Caenorhabditis elegans: one gene and its partners. The protein of the gene in region 2 purifies or fractionates together with the protein of the main gene of each other region. This does not show direct contact. Each region holds a gene or a part of one and is shown on either strand. Other genes may lie near its edges.

What was found.
Region 1: the proteins of C27H6.9 (region 2) and T19D7.6 fractionate together in Caenorhabditis elegans (co-fractionation; one large-scale study listed by BioGRID). This does not show direct contact.
Region 3: the proteins of C27H6.9 (region 2) and C08F8.15 fractionate together in Caenorhabditis elegans (co-fractionation; one large-scale study listed by BioGRID). This does not show direct contact.

What each region holds. Positions count from the first base shown.
Region 1 is NC_003284.9:669,184-675,075, forward strand, and holds T19D7.6 (LRRcap domain-containing protein), read right to left. Parts: upstream 1,618-5,892; 5' UTR 1,501-1,617; coding exon 1,498-1,500; intron 1,449-1,497; coding exon 1,348-1,448; intron 1,182-1,347; coding exon 1,046-1,181; intron 1,002-1,045; coding exon 892-1,001; intron 695-891; coding exon 574-694; 3' UTR 501-573; downstream 1-500. Other genes in the region: lgc-32 (Neurotransmitter-gated ion-channel ligand-binding domain-containing protein), read left to right, coding at 3,860-3,977, 4,023-4,123, 5,622-5,676, 5,719-5,842.
Region 2 is NC_003283.11:9,981,241-9,989,163, reverse strand, and holds C27H6.9 (Mitochondrial genome maintenance exonuclease 1), read right to left. Parts: upstream 6,297-7,923; 5' UTR 6,285-6,296; coding exon 5,928-6,284; intron 5,872-5,927; coding exon 5,714-5,871; intron 5,662-5,713; coding exon 5,505-5,661; intron 5,462-5,504; coding exon 5,279-5,461; 3' UTR 5,232-5,278; downstream 1-5,231. Other genes in the region: rde-1 (Piwi domain-containing protein), read left to right, coding at 1-279, 341-823, 900-1,121; MYG1 protein C27H6.8, read left to right, coding at 1,412-1,518, 1,614-1,815, 1,862-2,309, 2,362-2,627; rmd-2 (TPR_REGION domain-containing protein), read left to right, coding at 2,887-3,044, 3,091-3,209, 3,252-3,354, 3,769-3,826, 4,349-4,441, 4,495-5,100; tofu-1 (Schlafen-like protein 1), read right to left, coding at 6,489-7,044, 7,099-7,423, 7,476-7,680, 7,728-7,763.
Region 3 is NC_003282.8:11,159,063-11,165,064, reverse strand, and holds C08F8.15 (F-box domain-containing protein), read left to right. Parts: upstream 1-4,257; 5' UTR 4,258-4,273; coding exon 4,274-4,359; intron 4,360-4,407; coding exon 4,408-5,374; 3' UTR 5,375-5,502; downstream 5,503-6,002. Other genes in the region: C08F8.6 (non-specific serine/threonine protein kinase), read left to right, coding at 777-1,105, 1,209-1,518, 1,687-1,802, 1,892-2,279; fbxb-9 (F-box domain-containing protein), read left to right, coding at 2,536-2,621, 2,672-2,786; mboa-4 (Membrane Bound O-Acyl transferase, MBOAT), read left to right, coding at 5,604-5,708, 5,774-5,913, 5,957-6,002.

The sequences.
Region 1 (5,892 bases), on a different chromosome or scaffold from region 2:
TACGGCGCGGATCAAAATTGTTGTATGTACAGATCAAACTTGCCACGTGCACAAGTTGAAACCTAGTAATAATCTCAAACAATTTCCAACTTGTATTGCAACAATAATATAATTTTAAGAACTATTATTTCAAGTCTTAAGTTATGTGTTTCATGACATCTACACAAGAAAAAAAAAAAAAAACTAGGGAAAAGCTTTGAGAGGTTGCACAAAACTCAATTGAGCACCTGAATTCGATGATCATCCCTCCCTCTATCCACTCCCATCGGTTGCCGAAAAAACAATTGGTGGTGAGTTTCCACTCGGTTAAACACGTACTTGAGTCTTCGGACAGGAGCACGCACATTCTTTTTTTTCTATTCAACATGCAATTCAATTCCATTTACGTTAACCTCCATTTTCCCATTTTCTTCGTGGGATAAAGCATGTGGCTTTTAAAAGAAAACCGCTTGCCGCCCAAAAATAATGGTGGATAAAAAAGAAATGTATAAGAAGGAAATAGAAAAAAAAGATTTATTGTTGTTTTTATGCAAAAGTAACAAAAAATGTAGAAAAAACAAGCAACTTAAGTTGTCACTCGGACCCTGATGATGTTTTCGAGTCGGTGGAGCATCCCGAATAACGTTTTTGGCGGTGTGTTTCTAGACCATTCAACACACGTAGTTTTTTCAAAACCTTTGAAATCAACATTTTTCTGAAAAAAAAAGTTGATATTTTTTAATTTTAATATTTTTTATTTTTGAAGAGCTGTTTATGGTGGAAATGGGAATTCAACACGATGCTATACATTGCAAAATAAAAAACGGTGATAAAAACTGTTTGTATAGTCATTTAATTTTCAAGTGAAAACAAAATTGATTATTTTTGGAACCCGAGCAAAAAGGAACTCACTCCTTTTCTGTGAATTTTTCTGGAATTCCAGGATTGTTTTTTACTCGGAGCACTTCTATATTGGGACAATTTTTCTGAATGTTTGCAAGAAGCACTCCTAGGTTTCGAATCTGAAAAAAGAAAATGGAAACAGTTTTTCAATTATTGAACTCACCTTATTATTTCTGACTGAAAGTTCTTTAAGATTGGCGAACTTTGGCATATTGAAAGAATTTTCAGTAAGAACATTGTTGTCCAATGTGAGTTTTTCTATACGAGTACGGTTTTTGAGAACTGTGCTTGGAATACTACTGAAAATAGGCATTTCCGATTGTGAGTGCTGATAATTATTTTGGTCAGTGCTAATGGCTAACTTGGTCAGTGCTTAGATTTTAGGTAGTTAGAACAAAACAATATATATATATATAGGTATACTTGATTTGTAACAATTAGACAAATTATATAAAATACACTTACGTCAAACAAAGTCCTGAAAGTACAACATGTGAGTTTATTTCATTCTTCATAGAAATTGGAGAATTTTGGTAAATTTGATGGGCAACACAGGCGTGTACAGGCTGAAAATACTAACAGTTTTTTACTTGTTAACAAAGTTTATAACACAACCATTTTCGAAATCAAGACGGGAACGATTGAGCACAGACACACACACCACGCAGCAGCTGTCAAAAAAGAGAAAGTGAGGGGAGGGATGAGGGTAAAAATTCCTTATCAAGGTCAGCCTCATGCTCAACTACATCAAAAATGTTGAATGTCAGGGTTCTTTCGTACCGGTCACTCGATAAGTTTTCTTATCAGAGAGTTGCATTAGTGGTAGTGGTGACCAAAAAGAATTTGAATTTAATTTTGAGAATAGTTATCGGAGAGGAAAAACAGAAGAACCTTAAAAAATCAAATCACAGGTTCAAATGAGGGGTGGGCGGCAATGGTTTTTTTTTCGACAAATCCGCAAATCGGCAAATTGTCGGAATTGAAATTTCCGGCAAATTGGCAAGTTTCCGGAACTTGAAATTTCCTGCAAATCGGCAAAAACCGCAATTGTCGATTTGGCGAATTTGCATGAAATTTTCAACAAATCGTGGTTGTGTACTTTTTTTTTGGAAATTTCAGAACTTCAATTTTAATCGTCAAAGTTGTACGCATGCTATGAATGCTCCTACATCAATTTTGAAAACTAAGCGAATTGTAATAAAATATTGAAGAAAACGGGAACAAATTTGAAAAAAAAACACAGTTTTGAGTGTTTCAAAACAACCTCTTGGCAAAGTTTTCCGGCAAATGGGCAAATCGGCAATTTGCCGATTTGCCGAATCTGTCGACAAAAAACTGCTGAACGGCGATTACCGCCCACTCCTGGTTCAAATTACAATTGCAGAGAAATTTCAGGTCCTGAACTAACTGAAATAAAAACAAGTATAGTTTCAAAGGGTTTCTGTGAATTTTTTTCAGATTTTTTAGAAATAAATTATATATTGTAGTACTTCTTTTGAAAAAAATATTTTAATTTTACAATCAGTATAAAACATTGAATAAATTATGTTACAAATTACTGTCAATTAAAAGTGGAACTTTTGAGTAGATCACCTATATCTGCTTTTATAAAACTTACACTTCAAAAAACTAATTTAAAACGTGTAACACGAAATGAAAAAGAGGTGACCATATATGTATATACATTCTACCAAAACCAGATTCTTATCATTTCTTCTTCCAAAGCAAAATGGACAGATTTCTCATAAATTTTCACTGTTCATTTTCAATGTTCTGTTGGTTTTCCAATGTTATGTTTCTCTTGTCATCTTCTTTTTCGAATAAATAATTTGTGATTTATTTTCAAATCCGATTTTTGGACTAATGTAATAAATTTGGAACGAAATTAATTACCTCTGATAAACATCTTTTGAGCGAAGTTTGAGTAAACACTTTTTGATATAAAAAAACGTTCACTTTGTAAATAAAATAACTTTGAATTGACCAGATACTGGAAAAGAATCTCTTAATTTTATTTACCAGTAAAGAAAAAATTCTATTCAGATCAAAGCTGATTCAAAATCAACCAACAGGAAATTTTTTTTTAGATAGGTATGCTTTTTACAAAAAATTTACAAAAAAACCATGTGAAAATGCGAACAAACCCCAGAAATAGTAGAAACAAAAAAATTAAGTTTCAGGTGGAGAAGCCCCAGTGGGAGTTTGTTGAGTAATATCATTTTGATTATCGAAATAAACCGAATATCTTGTGGTCTTAGAATTTGACTCAAACAAAAAAGTTGAAACTAATTTGACAGTTTTTACCGTGTTATTTTATCACACAGAAATGGCTTTTCACTATTTTTTCTGGCGCTATTCTACTTTTAAAACTAAATTCTGTAATCAATCTTGTCTTCAAAAGTATTTTCCTTTTTTTCCACTTTTTCTATCCGATCGGTAAAATCCCGCCTTGTTGTTTTTTTTGCGTTGAATGAAGAGATATTTCTCCCTAAATTTGATAAGAAACATTACTTACAATTGGATTGAAGGGGGAATGCAGTTCTTTTCTTTACTCTCTCAATTATTTTTCTTTTTGTTTCCTTCTTAATGAATCACTTTTTCCTTTTTGTTCACTTTTTCAAATTCTCAATTTTTGATGCGAAATTTAAATTACCTATGTATCAACTTTTCACAGTTCTCCGGGTTTTTTTTAGCAAATTTAAATTTCTAGTCAAAATTTTTTCTCAGAGAATTTGAACTCTCCGTCAAAAATTTTTCTGAGAGAATTTGAATTTCTCTCCAATGACCTAATATGGTGGGGCCGTAGAATTTTACTTCAATAACGGCAACTTTTTTTGTACTTTATGTTACAACTCTTTTTTTTCTTGAGAAAATTCACTGGCATCGTGCAGATTTTTTTAAACAAAATATTCTTTCTCACTACTTCATCCCTGAAAATAATTTGATTTATCCTAATTTTTTAGACCTGATCCTTAAAATGAAGTATCGCATTTGGATACTGTTGATTTTTATCCCAATAGTAGTATTATGCGATGATTGCACAAGTGATGAAGATGTGATTGCTGATCTCTTAGGAAGAAATTCACATTCTTCTGGTAACTTATTGTGAAAAAGTGGTGTTGAAAAAAAATAATTTTCAGGTGAAATTGTGATAAAGTCGAACTATAAGATTGCCAAATGGTTGTACAATTCAGTAGCGCACGAGTTGAGCACAGAAGGTTTTTTTGAAATGAGTTGGACTGTGAGTTAAATTTATTTCCAAGAAGTGATTTTGGACTATTTTGAATATAAATATGTTGGGTAATTCTGTATTATATCCCCGCAATGAAGACAAGTGACAATTTTATTAAAAACATAACAAAAAAACGTTCACTCTAAAAAAGTTTTAAAAAAAAGCTTTACTTTCATCAAACATATATAACATGACTGAACAAGTTTTAAATTTCCTGATTAATTTTTGTTATTTCTTCATTTTTCAATGAATTATACAATTTTAAGCATCTTTATTCATATTTTCAAAAAATATTCCAGTATAGAAAATTTGATAATTCGAAAAGCTCCTGCCAAAAAAAACTTTTGAAAAACTGGAAAATCTTTTTAAAAATAAGAAAAATGCTGTAAGTTTAACAGTTGTATCCGGTTATTTTGGCTTATTTTTCATAACTTAAAAAATCTCTACTTTTCAGATTTTTTGAAATTTTAGATCTCTATCCAGGAATGTTTATATTATTGCCACTATTTATGTTAAAATTTACAAAAACTTACATTATAAAATGTGTAAATTACTTTGTAACTTACAAATTTTTTTTTGAATAAAACATTTTCTGTGCTTTCAGGAAATGAGAATAAAGAAGTAAACTTTATAATTGAAACTTTTTTTTTAAATTTGAGTTATACAGTGCCGGCCATAATTCTATCCAATTTTCGATTTTTGATAAATTTAAAAATTTCAAACGAGCACAACTTAAAAACTGGACATGCAATCAAAAAAAGTTCAACTAAAGAAATATTGTCAATAACTACGTCTACTTGTATTTAGTTGTTTAAGTTGTTTACCAGTGTCATGACAAGAAATACAGCGACCGACATCTCGTGAGCCCGTTTTTGACAACTTTTACTGATTCGGCCGTATCTCGAAAACTAATTTTTTTTCTGGAAATGTTTTTGAAGTAAAATAATCTTCATTCTACTTGCGATCATTTGTGCCTACTCACTTTGTTCTGAAAAATTCAGCAAAAAAGTTATGGAAGTGCAAACTAGTCCCTCACTTGGCACTGCTCATGCGTGTTTGTTGTCGTACACATTTTATTCAAGTTTAATCTCTCATAACTTTTTTGCTGAATTTTTCAGAACAACGTGAGAAGACACACATGATTTCAAGTAGTATAAAGATGATTTTACTTTAAAAACACTTCCAGAAAAAAATTAGTTTTCGAGATACGGGCAAATCAGTAAAAGTTGTCAAAAACGGGCTCACGAGATGTCGGCCGCTGTATTTCTTGTCATGACACTGGCAAACAATTTAAACAACTGAATACAAGTAGACGTAATTATGGACAATATTTCTTTAGTTGAAATTTTTTTGATAGCATGCTCAGTTTTTAAGTTGTGCTCGTTCGAAAAATTTGTAAATTTATCAAAAATCGACAATTGGATAGAATTATGGCCGGCACTGTATGAAGAATATATTCAAAGTGGCGTTACTTTTTATATTTTATTTTTTAATAAAAAATTTTCAGAATACCACTTTGGATTTTACCAATCTCAACGCCTGCCACAAAACTGTCCGGATCAGTAAGCAAATTCTTGTTTCAAATATTTGATTTTTTTTTCCAGAAAGTTTACTCCACATTTTTTGGTTGCCCCATGTATATTTTCCTTTCTCGTATAATCTCGAAGAAAGTCGTAATTTATACAACATAGAAATCCATGAAAGTGGTAACATTACTTTGTCAAAAAGGTATTTTGAATTAGATTTTTTTTTCTTCAAACGTCATAGTAATCTATTTC
Region 2 (7,923 bases):
GAAATTGCAGAAATATCACCAGAAGAAAAAGAAAGACGGAAAACAATGCCATTAACTATGTATGTTGGAATTGATGTAACTCATCCAACCTCCTACAGTGGAATTGATTATTCTATAGCGGCTGTAGTAGCGAGTATCAATCCAGGTGGAACTATCTATCGAAATATGATTGTGACTCAAGAAGAATGTCGTCCCGGTGAGCGTGCAGTGGCTCATGGACGGGAAAGAACAGATATTTTGGAAGCAAAGTTCGTGAAATTGCTCAGAGAATTCGCAGAAGTGAGTTGTCTTGAGTATTTAAAAGATCTCTGGGATTTTTAATTTTTTTGTAAACTTTCAGAACAACGACAATCGAGCACCAGCGCATATTGTAGTCTATCGAGACGGAGTTAGCGATTCGGAGATGCTACGTGTTAGTCATGATGAGCTTCGATCTTTAAAAAGCGAAGTAAAACAATTCATGTCGGAACGGGATGGAGAAGATCCAGAGCCGAAGTACACGTTCATTGTGATTCAGAAAAGACACAATACACGATTGCTTCGAAGAATGGAAAAAGATAAGCCAGTGGTCAATAAAGATCTTACTCCTGCTGAAACAGATGTCGCTGTTGCTGCTGTTAAACAATGGGAGGAGGATATGAAAGAAAGCAAAGAAACTGGAATTGTGAACCCATCATCCGGAACAACTGTGGATAAACTTATCGTTTCGAAATACAAATTCGATTTTTTCTTGGCATCTCATCATGGTGTCCTTGGTACATCTCGTCCAGGACATTACACTGTTATGTATGACGATAAAGGAATGAGCCAAGATGAAGTCTATGTAAGCGTTTTGAATAGCAGTTAGCGATTTTAGGATTTTGTAATCCGCATATAGTTATTATAAAAAAATGTTTCAGAAAATGACCTACGGACTTGCTTTTCTCTCTGCTAGATGTCGAAAACCCATCTCGTTGCCTGTTCCGGTTCATTATGCTCATTTATCATGTGAAAAAGCGAAAGAGCTTTATCGAACTTACAAGGAACATTACATCGGTGACTATGCACAGCCACGGACTCGACACGAAATGGAACATTTTCTCCAAACTAACGTGAAGTACCCTGGAATGTCGTTCGCATAACATTTTGCAAAAGTGTCGCCCGTTTCAATCAAATTTTTCAATTGTAGATATTGTACTTACTTTTTTTTAAAGCCCGGTTTCAAAAATTCATTCCATGACTAACGTTTTCATAAATTACTTGAAATTTATTCTGTGTTTATTATTTATTACCTCTAAATTTCGTTTTGAACGTGAGCATCATATCTTAAACTACTTATTGATAACGGTTTCATAAAGATAGGTAATTTGATTTTTAAAATGTTTTCTCTCTGCAGGTGATTTCACGACTTCTTGGACAGTTCGGTCACAAGATGACATCGCTCATTGGTACTCACTCCGGAAAATTCCATTGCGATGAGGCTTTTGCTTGTTTCATGCTGAAACAATTGCCACAATTCAAGGATCATTCGATTTTAAGGTAATTCGATTTTTCATGTTTATCAAGTTTGCGAAATGACCCACTTTTTTATTAGGATTTATTTTATAGCTGAGTTCTGAAATCTGTAATTTCAGAACCCGTGACGCTGCTCAACTGGAGAAGTGTGATATTATCGTCGATGTCGGTGGAATCTTTGATCATTCAAAACAACGATACGATCATCATCAACGTGGATTCACTGATACCATGCGTACTCTAGAGAAGCTTAACTTTGATACAAAACTAAGCTCTGCAGGATTAGTTTACGCTCACTACGGGAGAGAAGTCATCAATCAGGTAACTTTCAATAATCAAAAGGTTGTTTTGAAACTATTAACTTCAGATCCTTGGTGGAAATGTGTCATCCTCGATGATTGATCTATTCTATCATCGTCTCTACGAGCAATTCGTTGAATCAATCGACGCCATTGATAACGGGATTTCTCAATACGACGGAGTTCCAAGATATCATTCATCAGGAAATCTTTCATCGCGTACTGGTCAATTCAATTCCCATTGGAATGAACCTGAGAATGATGCTGATGAACGATTCCAACAAGCAATGCAATTCATCGGTGAAGAGTTTTCACGATCAGTGAAGTACTTGGCAAATGTTTGGTGGCCAGCTAGAGAGATCATCGAAGCTGCTGTGGATAAACGATTTGAAATTGATGCATCTGGAAGGATCATTCTTATCGAGAACGGTGGATGCCCGTGGAAAGAACACTTTTTCGACATTGAAGTAGAGAAGAATATTGCCGACGATAATATCACTTACATTCTGTTCTCGGGTTAGAAATTATTTAATTTTTTAAAATTCAATAATTATTATCTGTTTTCTAGATTCTACCAATGCTTCGTGGCGCGTTCAAGCAATCCCAGTCGACAAAATGTCATCATTCGAGAATCGCATGCCACTTCCAGCTGCTTGGCGTGGTCTCCGTGATGACGATCTTTCGAAGGAAAGTGGAATCCCAGGCGGAGTCTTTGTCCACATTTCCGGATTCATTGGAGGAAATCTGACTCGTGAAGGAGCAATTGCCATGGCACGGAAAGCTCTCGAAATAGGAGAAGAGAATCCAGTGAAAAAAGCTAAATTGGGTAATTAGATCTAATCTATCTAAAATTAATTACTGTTTTCATTTGTTTTGTTTGAATTTGTCCAGCTGATATTTCAGTGATCCTTTGATATTTTATTACGTTCAATAAACTTCCTCCCCGATGTCACTTTGCTTTTCTTCTTTTCTTTTTCCATCTCTTACACTCCAGTTGTCTATAAAATTTGTCACGTGTCATAACGGTCCGGTTCTTGCCTGAATCTTTATACTTCTAAATCAGTGAGCCATTGGTATTTTCTAAGCTTAACAGATGACTACGCCGTCTACAAGTTCTGAAACTGTATGGAAATATGTGGGAATAACAGCAGCCACAGGTGCGGCTGTAGGTATATTTCTATACTATGCAAGAAAAGATGACCGAAATATCGTCGAAATCGAACGACTTCAGATGATGACCGAGGTTCTAGGGTATCAAAATGAAGTACGAAAGTTGTTTCAGAAAAAATAATTTTAGTGCCAAAGTTGACGATCTCGAAACTCTGCTGAAAACCATGTACGATGAAATCAAAAGTCAACGCGCACTTCGAACTTCTTTGAGTAGTGGAGCTCTCAAGACTGTATCTTTCAAATTAGGTAATTGAAAAAAAGTAGAAATATAAATTATATATTTTTCAGAAGCGAGTAATAGCCGTCCTTCTACCTACAAACAAATGTCAAGGACCAGAAGCTGGACTTCGATTACTTCAGATTCAGAGTATGGAGACGCCGAAGAAGATTGGTAATCATTTGCTGCCAAAGATGTCAATAATAGATCCAGAAATCAGAATGATAAGATTAAAAATCTCCACAATCATAAATTGAAAAGATAAGATAGATCTCTATAAATAATGACGTCAACTCTTGCCCGATGTCACCCTTTACATCTGATAATCTGTTCTCGTGAGCTCCCAAGAAACTTCTTTACACTTTGTGAGACAAGATTTTTGGGAGAGAGAAAACGTCTGCATTTCTCTTGAGTTCTGTTTCAACAATGAATTCTATTATTATCTTGTCACTAATAATTATTCAATTTCTGTCGATTTGTGATGCCAGGTAAAAAACATCTAGACTTATATTTTTCGATGACTCACCCACCATGGTAGATCAAAATCTTGTTTTTTTTGACCAACAAAATTTTCAATCGTTTTTGCAGGTACACTGACGACCGCGCATTTGGTGACTCAAAATCGCTCAGCAGATCCTTATCGCAGGTCAGTTGGAGTATTTTTGTCTTCTTTTTCCGACTTTCTTCTCTCGAAAAAAACCCTAGAATATGCTGGACCTTATACTTTGTTCCCATCTTTTGTTGCCAGAAAATATCTGTAAAACTTTTAGATTTGAACATTTCAAAGTTATCTTTAGCAAAGCGATATCAAGTTTATATTCTTTAACTTTTACATATATTTTCTATGATTCATTTGAATATTCTCGAACGAATTCTGTGCTTCCAAACATTTTTTGTTTGTGTGTAGCCTATAAAGAACATCTCTAACTGCCTATTTCCTCTGACAGCCGTCACTCTCTTCTTTCTCGCGTAGCGCTCGTGAATCAGTATACACAAAACTGCTGTTCTCGTCTTCTGTTGTCTTCCCATTTTTGATACGAATTTGCTCTCTTTTTTCTTCTTTCATTTTCTTTCCTCCGAAATGCCTTAGCTTTGCCTGATTGCTGGCAATTCAAAATGATAAGAAATATTTAAGTTCTCTTTTTAACGAAAAGTTATTTGATTTCAGACCACCGCTCATTCAAAAACAATGTCCTTCGAAGATCTTGATGCTCTTTTCGGAACAGACCGCGTCCAGGAGGGGTATGATGCTTTAAAGAAGGTAGACTGTTCATTTATATATTTAAACAATAAAATATAATTTTAAATTTGCAGAGATACGATGCTGGAGAGAAGTCCATTGATGTTCTTTGGCGCTTGGCCAAATTCTGTAACGAAATTGGAAATCGTGTTGAGAAGGACAAGAGAAAGGACATCATCGTTGAAGGAAAGAAGTACGCTACCGAAGCCTGGAACACCGATTCCAACAACTTCTTGGCTGCTCGCTGGGCTGCATTGATGTCGGGAAAGGTCACCGAGTACCTTGGAACCAAGGAAAAGATTGAGGAGGGAAAACACTGTAAGGAATATCTCGATCGTGCCATCTCTATCCAGCCAAAGGAAGATGCTCTTCTTCATCTGCGTGGTCGTTGGGCTCTTTCAGTAGCCAATCTTTCGTGGTTTGAACGCAAAGCTGCTGCACTTCTGTACTCTGAGCCACCAACTGCCACTGTCGAGGAGGCTATCGCCGACTTCCAAGCAGCTCATGAAATCAATCCAGACTGGATTGAAAACACGGTTTACCTCGGAAAAGCTCTTCATCAAAAGGGAGACAAGGCTGCTGCCAAGCCATTCTTTGAGCAGGCTCTCAAAATCACCCCTACCAACGATAACGAGAAAGAGCTTCTCACCGAAGCCAAGGGCCTGTGCTCGAAGTGTTAAATCTATCATGTTTCGATACTTTTGTATTTACGTAATTTGGTTCCTCTTCATCCCTAAATTCACTTCTGGTGTAAACTTTATGTTGAAATTTTTCTGCTTGATGTGCATTTTGTATTATATAAAACATGAAAAAGAGTTGTGAGAATATTTATTTATAGAAAAACATCACATTTTCCAATTATTTTGGGGGCTTATACGCCAAATCAATATTAACTTGATTGGCGGATGTCACTTTGCACCAGAATTCATTCAGTTTCTCTGTGACTTCTTCTAATGTCCTCATCATTTCATCTTCAGATATTTGATAAACTTCAGCAGGTGACCCATCTTCTTTCAGACTAACCAATATTCCTTGCTTCACCTACAATTAAAATTTTTTCAGCGTAAAACTAGCATCATCTTACAAAAGGTAGATTTTCAAATCTAACATCATGATTAAACGCAGAAGCGTATGCAGCCAGTTGACGGACATAGCTTGTGTAGGATAAACTATCCTCGCGCTGTGTGCTGAACGAGGATCGTGCCGGAGTAGTTTTCCAATCTAATATGTTCCAATAATCTCTGAAATCAGCTGATATGTGAATCAAAACTTGAAAACGTCCGCGTCACCAACTTGTACTTGACAACTGCATCAAATCTTCCTTGATACGCCAATGTTGGATGCCTGACTTTCTTCTCACAAATTGCATTCTGCGGATCCTGTATTTCCAGAATAACGGGCATTGCACTTTTCATGAAATTTCTGATAGCAGCATTTTTCTCATTATCGATCTGAAAATTGACCAGATAAATATTTTTGCAGTGTTTTTAATGCATTCAATAATTACAAGATTATTCAATTTTGACTCGTGGTGTCCTAATTTTAGCATCTCTTCAACTTTTGTATGAGTTTTGGTTCCCAGTGACATTCTTTCCGTCATACTTGATTTGAATGCACTCAATCCCATTTCGTCAATTTTTGCTTTCTGCCACAAATATAATGCTTTTTGGTCACTGATCGCAGAAAGGATTGCTGAAAGAAAAGGTCGTCGGAGAGTTGAAGTCTCAGAATTCTCAGCAATTCGTTTCTCGGGAAATAGGCACGGATTATTAAATTCCGCTTCCGTTGGAGGAGCAACATCTATGAGCTTCGCAAAACTTGGCATTATTGAGGTTCCGTAGCGAATTGTGCATTTTCGAGACATGATCTGATTTATCTGGAATCAAATTGCTTGTTTTGTTCAAAATTAACCGACCGTTCAAAAATAAAAATAGCAAATCACATGCAGGAATACTACGAATATCGTTAAACAACAATCAGAAATTGGTACAAAACTTCATGATACAGATATAATGGAGGCGATATTAAGCGAAACAACGAACAAAACAAAAACAGAAGATTAACAACTTCAAACAGATGATTCTAAACGATAGACTTGATTACGGAGTTGTTTCACTCGAATGACAATCAGAAACGTCTCATCCATTTCTTCAACTGGAACGAAGTTCATGTCAACTACGTCGAGAATATTCTCAATTGGAGGTGCAAACTCGGTTTGAACAGCAGTATCCAGAGCAAGACGCAGATTATCTTGTTGACCAGGACCCATGTGGCATCCAGTAACTTTTCCGTCTTTCCCAATACCAAAGAGAACCACGGCGAGACGCTTTGAATTCAATGCATCACGGATTATCTGTTGGATGTCATGTGTCTCCATCAAGTTAATTTCATCCGCACTTCGAATATGAACATCCGTGAATTTGGTTCTGAATTCAATTTTGGCTCCAGCCTTGACAGTTGTTGTCAACTTTCCCAGTGTGATCAATTCTTTCAATGTCTTGTCTTTCTCGTATGCCATGGATACACATGAATCGATCCAGCGTTGATCGTGACGAGCAAATTCGAAACGAGGTGGACGAGACATGATTCCGTTGCGAACGTTGAAGCTGGTTCCATACACATTTCTGGAAGGATGAAGAGTTGAAATAGAAAATATTCAGAAAAGCTTCAAGACCTACTTTTTGGAAGCAAAATCTGGAATATCTTCTACTGATACGGCATGCTCTTCTTCGGTGATGTACTGCATATACTTCTTAAGTGAAGACATGTCGAAAGCATCCTTATTTTTGCATTTCGCATCAGAAGCTTGAGTTTCTGCAGAGGAAGAACTAACAGCTCCAACACTAATACCACTGTCCACATCCTCTAACTCGCTGCGATCGATGATATCAGGTTCAACTGAAGAGTCCAAGTCTTCGAAGAGTCCTTCAATTCGAGAATTCATCTGATCTCCTGCCAATGCTTTTCCAAGAAGAGCATCAAGAAGTGATTCCTCCACTTCGGCTGGAAAATATTTTGTTACAGAAAAAGAGCAAAAAACTATAAAACTGCTCACCTTGACCATCGTGAAGCTCGACAATTACTTCATTTTCGGAAGGGATGTCCACTTCTTCAGAGGATAATTCGTCATCTTCAAGTTCATCCACATTTTCAAGCTCATCATCGTCTTCAAACTCATCGTCGTTTTCAAATTCATCCTCGTTTTCATTTTCTTCGATTTCACTCAAAAAGCCGCTAAAATCTTCTTCATTTTCGGAATCCTAAAATTCTTGAATTATACTTTATTCTTGTTAATCCAGAAACTCACCGAATAAGAATCATTCTCTTCAAAAAGCGCAGCCATTGTTCCAAAAATAACTGAGACAGAATATTCGATTTCGAAGGATTGTCGAGGGAGCAGGATTTGGGACAAATTCCAGATAATTGTCTCAAAGTTGTGCTACCGTACTTTAAAGGTACATTGCTATTTTACATTAACAGGTTCCCGAATGGAATGCCATTTT
Region 3 (6,002 bases), on a different chromosome or scaffold from region 2:
TTACAGTATTCAAATTACAATCTGAAACTTATGCAATCTTTCAGATTATCTCACTATCACCATTCCTAATTCTTCCACATTCCTAATCGAGGTAAAAGGTACACCGCCACGTGTGTTGCAAGAGGATTATCAAAAGAAGAGCAATTTGTACGAGTACACAACACAAACAACCATTTTATTGGATTGCGTGGAAGACGCAACAGAGCCGGAAAGAGAGCTGACAGATGTGCTCGGTCGGATGCTTTGTGACGGAACATGGATAGTAACAACAAGGCTACAATTTGAGCGGCACGGTTATACAGGTGTAACTGCCAGCAAAGCACTTGAAGTTGGAGGGAAATTTTGAATCAATGTCTAGCAAAATAATAAAAAAATTATTTACGTAACCTTTTATAAAATTTACGTTACAGGCTTTATCAAAATGTCGATCTTTCGACAAAAATCAGTATTAATTTATTTTGGAAGTTTTTTGCCAAATTACTAAAAGGTGAGTAGGGGGAATTTCAAAGTGATCATTTTGCAGTCAGACTAGGGAGGGGGGGGGGGGGTGGTGATAATTATAACAAAATAATTTCACGTGACCTTTTCTTATCAAAAGAAAACTTCCAAAAGGGGGAATTCGAAAAATAAATCAATAATAATTCTCCGACAAATTACTAAAAGGTATGTAAGGGCAGACTTTTCTTTTAGCCTAAACAGTTGTGTTAACCAAATGTTAATGTAATGGCTTGAAATTTGTATCTAATTCAATTCACATTTACAGTAACTCAAATAAAATGGGCGACTTGATCCAGCTAAGTGTCGGTACAAAAGTAAAAAAGTGGCAAATTGATAAGAAACTCGGAGAGGGTGCATTTGGTGCAGTCTACAAGTGTTCCAACCCGAAAGGAGACCTTTTTGCACTTAAAGTCGAGGGAAAAGACGAGAAAATTCAGTTGTTGAAAATGGAAGTCTACGTGTTGAATGAGTTGAAGAAGGCCGGAGGACGTCATTTCTGTAATATCGAGGATAAGGGACAAGTCGATAATTTCAATTATGTCGTGATGACATTTGTTGGGTTGTCACTTGCCGATTTGAGAGCCATTTCACCAACTAAGAAATTCTCGTAAGTTTTCTTTCAGAGAAACGGTTTTACAGAGATCTGGCAAAACGGAAGTTATTGTTCCCGTTGGATCTCCCAGAATTCAATCACCAAATTGCCTTTCCAGAATGGGAACCGCTATCTCCATTGCCCGTCAATCGCTGGAGGCACTCGAGGACATGCACAACATTGGATATCTCCATCGTGACGTCAAACCTGGCAACTACACAATCGGACGTGCCGAGGTCAATGAGCTTCGCAAAGTTTATGTGCTGGATTTCGGTATGGCTCGTAAATTTGCTCACGAGGATGGAACTATCAAGAAGCCCCGTAACGTCGCCGGGTTCCGTGGGACTGTCAAGTATGCGCCTGTCAGTTGTCATGCTGGACGTGAACTCTGTCGTCAGGATGATTGCGAAACGTGGCTTTACATGGTGGTGAGTGTGTATTCGGATCAAAATATTATCTGCTTTTCAACTAGATTTGAATTCGCGCTTAAAGTCACTTGCGCGATAATTCAAACTCTGCCATTTTAAGGAAGGCAGAAAGCTTATCAGAAATTGAAATTGATCCGAAATCTAACATTTTAAATGTTAAATTTCCAGGTTGAGCTCACTAAAGGGTCCCTGCCATGGCGTAATATGACAGAAATCCAGGATGTTGGAAATGAGAAGCGTGCTATTCGCCGTGATCCCATCGTCAAGAAGAAGATGTTCGGAGGGTAAGAGACAGATTTTCTAAAAAACTATTTTTGAAGTGTTGAAAAAACTTTCATCACCCGTCTCTGTTTCAAAACCTATCTTATTTCAGCTGTCCACGTGAGTACCTTGACATTCTCGAAGCGATCGATAAGGGACAATTCTTTGATGAGCCGAACTATGAACGGATCTACTATCTTTTGAGAGAGGCAATGAAGAATACGGGATCCACTGAATATCCGTATGATTGGGAGCAATCTCTTATGAAGAAAACGAAGGAAGAACAGGAAAAGAAGAAGAAAGGAGTTGTAGATCAAACAGAAAAGGTTATCAAGAAAAAAGAAGTTGAGTTGGCAGAGGGAAAATCTCATAAGGAGACTAAGGAGGTTACCAAAGTCAGTAAGGAAATTGTTGAGGAAAAGAAGGAAGAGAAGAAAGAGGAGAAAAAGGAAGAGAAAAAGGAAAAGTATGAAGACGATAAGAAGGAGGAGTTGTATTGATTGACTTTCGAGAAAAATAAATTATTTTTGAATGTTTCATGTGATATCTAGTTTTTTATCCTACGCGTACGTGATTATTTTGAATATTGGAGTTTCTCATTAGTAACATTGCTTTTTGTTCGAAGCATTCAGGATGAGGTCACCTGGGTTTCCTGCCATGCTCAGTTACTACAACATTGACATCTGTTGCAACTATTCAGTTAACTATCGATCTATATTCTTTTGCAGTCATTCATTTTTGCCTAACACAACTATAATGGCTGCCGTTTCTGAATTTCGTCTTCTTCAATTGCCTGAAAGAGCTCAACGAATTTCACTCTCGCACATGAGTTATAATTCAATGTAAGTTTATTTTGTTAACAAACAACCAGTTTAGTCATTTTCTTTTTCAGATTCTCACTCTCCCTGTGCTCCACAAAAAAAAACAAAAGACCTCGTTCGAAATTTCAATATAAAGTTCTATCGATTTTCTTTAGAAATATTTGGCGACATTGCTCTGATTATTAGCTGCGAAAACAGTCAAATCGATTTTAGTCTAATTCATTGAGCAGTAAAAAAACGTTACACCAGGATGATGTGCTACGAAAAACGTTAGATTTTTTGCAAATAGAGTGGAGAGTTTTGTATGGAAACGACCAAACTTGACATTTAGAAATTGGATAGATCACTTTCTCAATATTCTAAATATTTCAACTTTGAATGTTATAATGGCAAAGAGAAATGTTCATGTTGATTTTGAAGATCTTAATAGTTGTTTAGAAGGAGTACCTATACGAACGCTCACCTATGAAGGTATTGAAATAACTTCAGATAGAATTAATCGAAAGCATCCCGTTAGTGATACATTTTTATCAAAAGCGGGGTTTCTTGATTTTTATAATTGCACGTATAAAAGCTCACAGTTCATTCACAAGTTTCTCATTCATAATACTACGACGGTATTCACTCGTGGAGTGCCGCGATATAACCTGAATGATTTGCTGGTGTCTAATGGCCAAAAAATTTACGTTCAAGTCGGTAGAGGCATCATTTTTTTGGAAAAAGATGTCAATAAATTTTTAAAGCATTGGATACGTGGGTCCAATAGAGAACTTAAATCATTGGCATTCAGAGCTCCGATGAATATGGAAATAGAACATGCTATAGAAACAATATTAAAAGGAATATGTTACAAGGATGCACGAGAAGAAGATGCAGCTTCTATTAAACTGGTTCACATCTGCAATGGAAATACCTTTAAACATCCAATAATCAAAATAAGTGGTTTTCGTATTAAACGATTCGATGGAACAAATGCAACAGTTGTAATCAGATTATTAAATGCAAATAGTGTATGTTGTAATGTTGATATGTTTGTTTCCTAGATTCTTGTTTTAATGCACTCTCATTAATTGTACTTTTTATGAACACATATTTATACTCACTTTCCCTCTGACTCTGTCCCCTCCGAGGCACTGTCCCTTTGACCGCTATTTTTTGCTGCTTACCTTTCTTTGTTTCCTTTCTTTTCACTCATGGGACGAAATAAATAATAATCTTAAACGGAAGAGTGCTGGAGCATTCAGATACATTATTTTGAGTATTCGTCTCGAGGGCTGTGTAATTGATTTTAATCTGTACATGCTGAATAGTTGTGAGAAAATTACACCAGGACTATGTGCACCGGAAAAGGTTCGACGTTTTACAAATGATGTGGTAAATTTTGAATTAAAGCAACCAAACTTGAAATTTAAACATTGGATAGATCACTTTCTTAATATTCCCAATATTTAAACTTTAGATTTTGCAATGGGAAGGAAAAATGTTAATGTTGATTTTTGAAAATCAGGTTTTTTCGTTTGAAACATTTAGGATGAGGTCACCTGGGATTCCTATCATGCTCATTGTCAGTCACTACAACATTGCCATCTGTTGCAACCATTTAGTCAGATATCGATCTATATTCTCTTGCAGTCACTTCATATGTCTTGCATTTTCTGCATAACACATCTATAATGGCTGCCGTTTCTCCATTTCGTCTTCTTCAATTGCCTCAAAGAGCTCAACGCATTTCACTTTCGCACATGAGTTCTGTTTCTGTGTAAGTTTATTTTGTTAATACAACCAGTTTAGTCACTTTCTTTTTCAGATTTTCACTCTCCTTGTGTGCCACAAAAAATACAAAAGACCTCGTTCGGAGTCTAAATCTGAAGTGCATACGATTGTGTTTAGAATTCTTTGATGACCTTATTTTGAGTATTTGCTTCGAAGGCTGTATAATTGATTTTTATCTGTACATGCTGAATAGTAGTCAGAAAATTACACCAGGACTATGTGCACCGAAAAATGTTCAAGTTTCTACAAATGATGTGAAAAATTTTAAATGGGAACGACCAAACTTAAAATTTAGAAATTGGATAGATCACTTTCTTTATATTCTCAATATTTCAACTTTAGATGTTGCAATGGGAAGTAGAAATGTTAATGTTGATTTTGAAAATCTTCATAGTTGTTTAGAAGGAGTTCGTGTAAAAAAGTTATCTTATCATATACTGGACATGACTTCAAATGAAACCAACCGAACAAATTCCGTTAATGATACATTTTTATCAAAAGCAGAGTTTATTGTGTTGTCTAATTGCACGTATGAAACCTCACAGTCTATTCACAAATTTCTTATTTGTAATAATGCGACACTATTCTCTAATGTTTTTTCTCCATATAATCTGAATGATTTACTCATATCCAATTGCCAAAACCTTCTCGTTAACGTTGATAGAGGCAACATTTTTTTGGGACAAGATGTGAACAAATTTTTAAAGCACTGGATACGTGGATCAAATGTAACACTCAAATGTTTGGCATTAGAAGCTCCGATGAATATGGAAAGAGAACTTGTTATAGAAACAATATTAGAAGGAATTGATTACAAGGTTAAAGAAGAGGAGGTGTCAGTTTATAAGAAAATGCTTGATATCTTCAATCACGGAAATCCTTCAATTACCAAAATTCGTGGTTTTCGTATTACACGATTCGATGGTACAAATTGCGATGTTGTAATCAGAACATGCAATCCGAGTGTTATGCGGTACAGCCTAAATATGTTTATTTTCTAGTTTTGTTCTGTTTTGATACACTCTCATTAATTGTATTTTTTATGAACACATATATATGCACATATTTGTTGCTTCTAATTGTTTTGTTAATTGGAAAAACTGGAAAATGGAATAAATATTGGAATAAAAACGTGAAATAAGAAACCACAATTCAAAAATGACGTAGTGGATGTGGAGATAAACCTTTAAGAATAAATCAATTTATTATTTTTTCACATCGACTCGGAGGATGTCGTCGTTGAATGAGGATGTTGACGAGAGTAATCATATTTTTTATGATCCGGTCACACTCTTGAGACCGGTTTCACGAGCGATTAGCATGAATTTGGATCAAGTAAGAGTTTTTGAAATATTTTAATGCATTGCACTAAATGTGCCTCGCAAAACTTGAATTTTCAGCTTAACTTCGTCACTGTTCTTCTTCTATCATTCGGTTTGGGCTACTGGTTCCGTGTACAATTTTGTGATGCAAGTCGGACAACTCGTGCAGCAGTCACTACATCAGTTGGGCTAATTTTCACCTATTTTTGCTATGGAAAGTGAGTTTTGAGATGAAGTAGATTAAAAAAAAAGGGTTTTCAGTGCCATAGCTCATTTATTCATCAACGGGTTTGGAAGTTACCTTCTC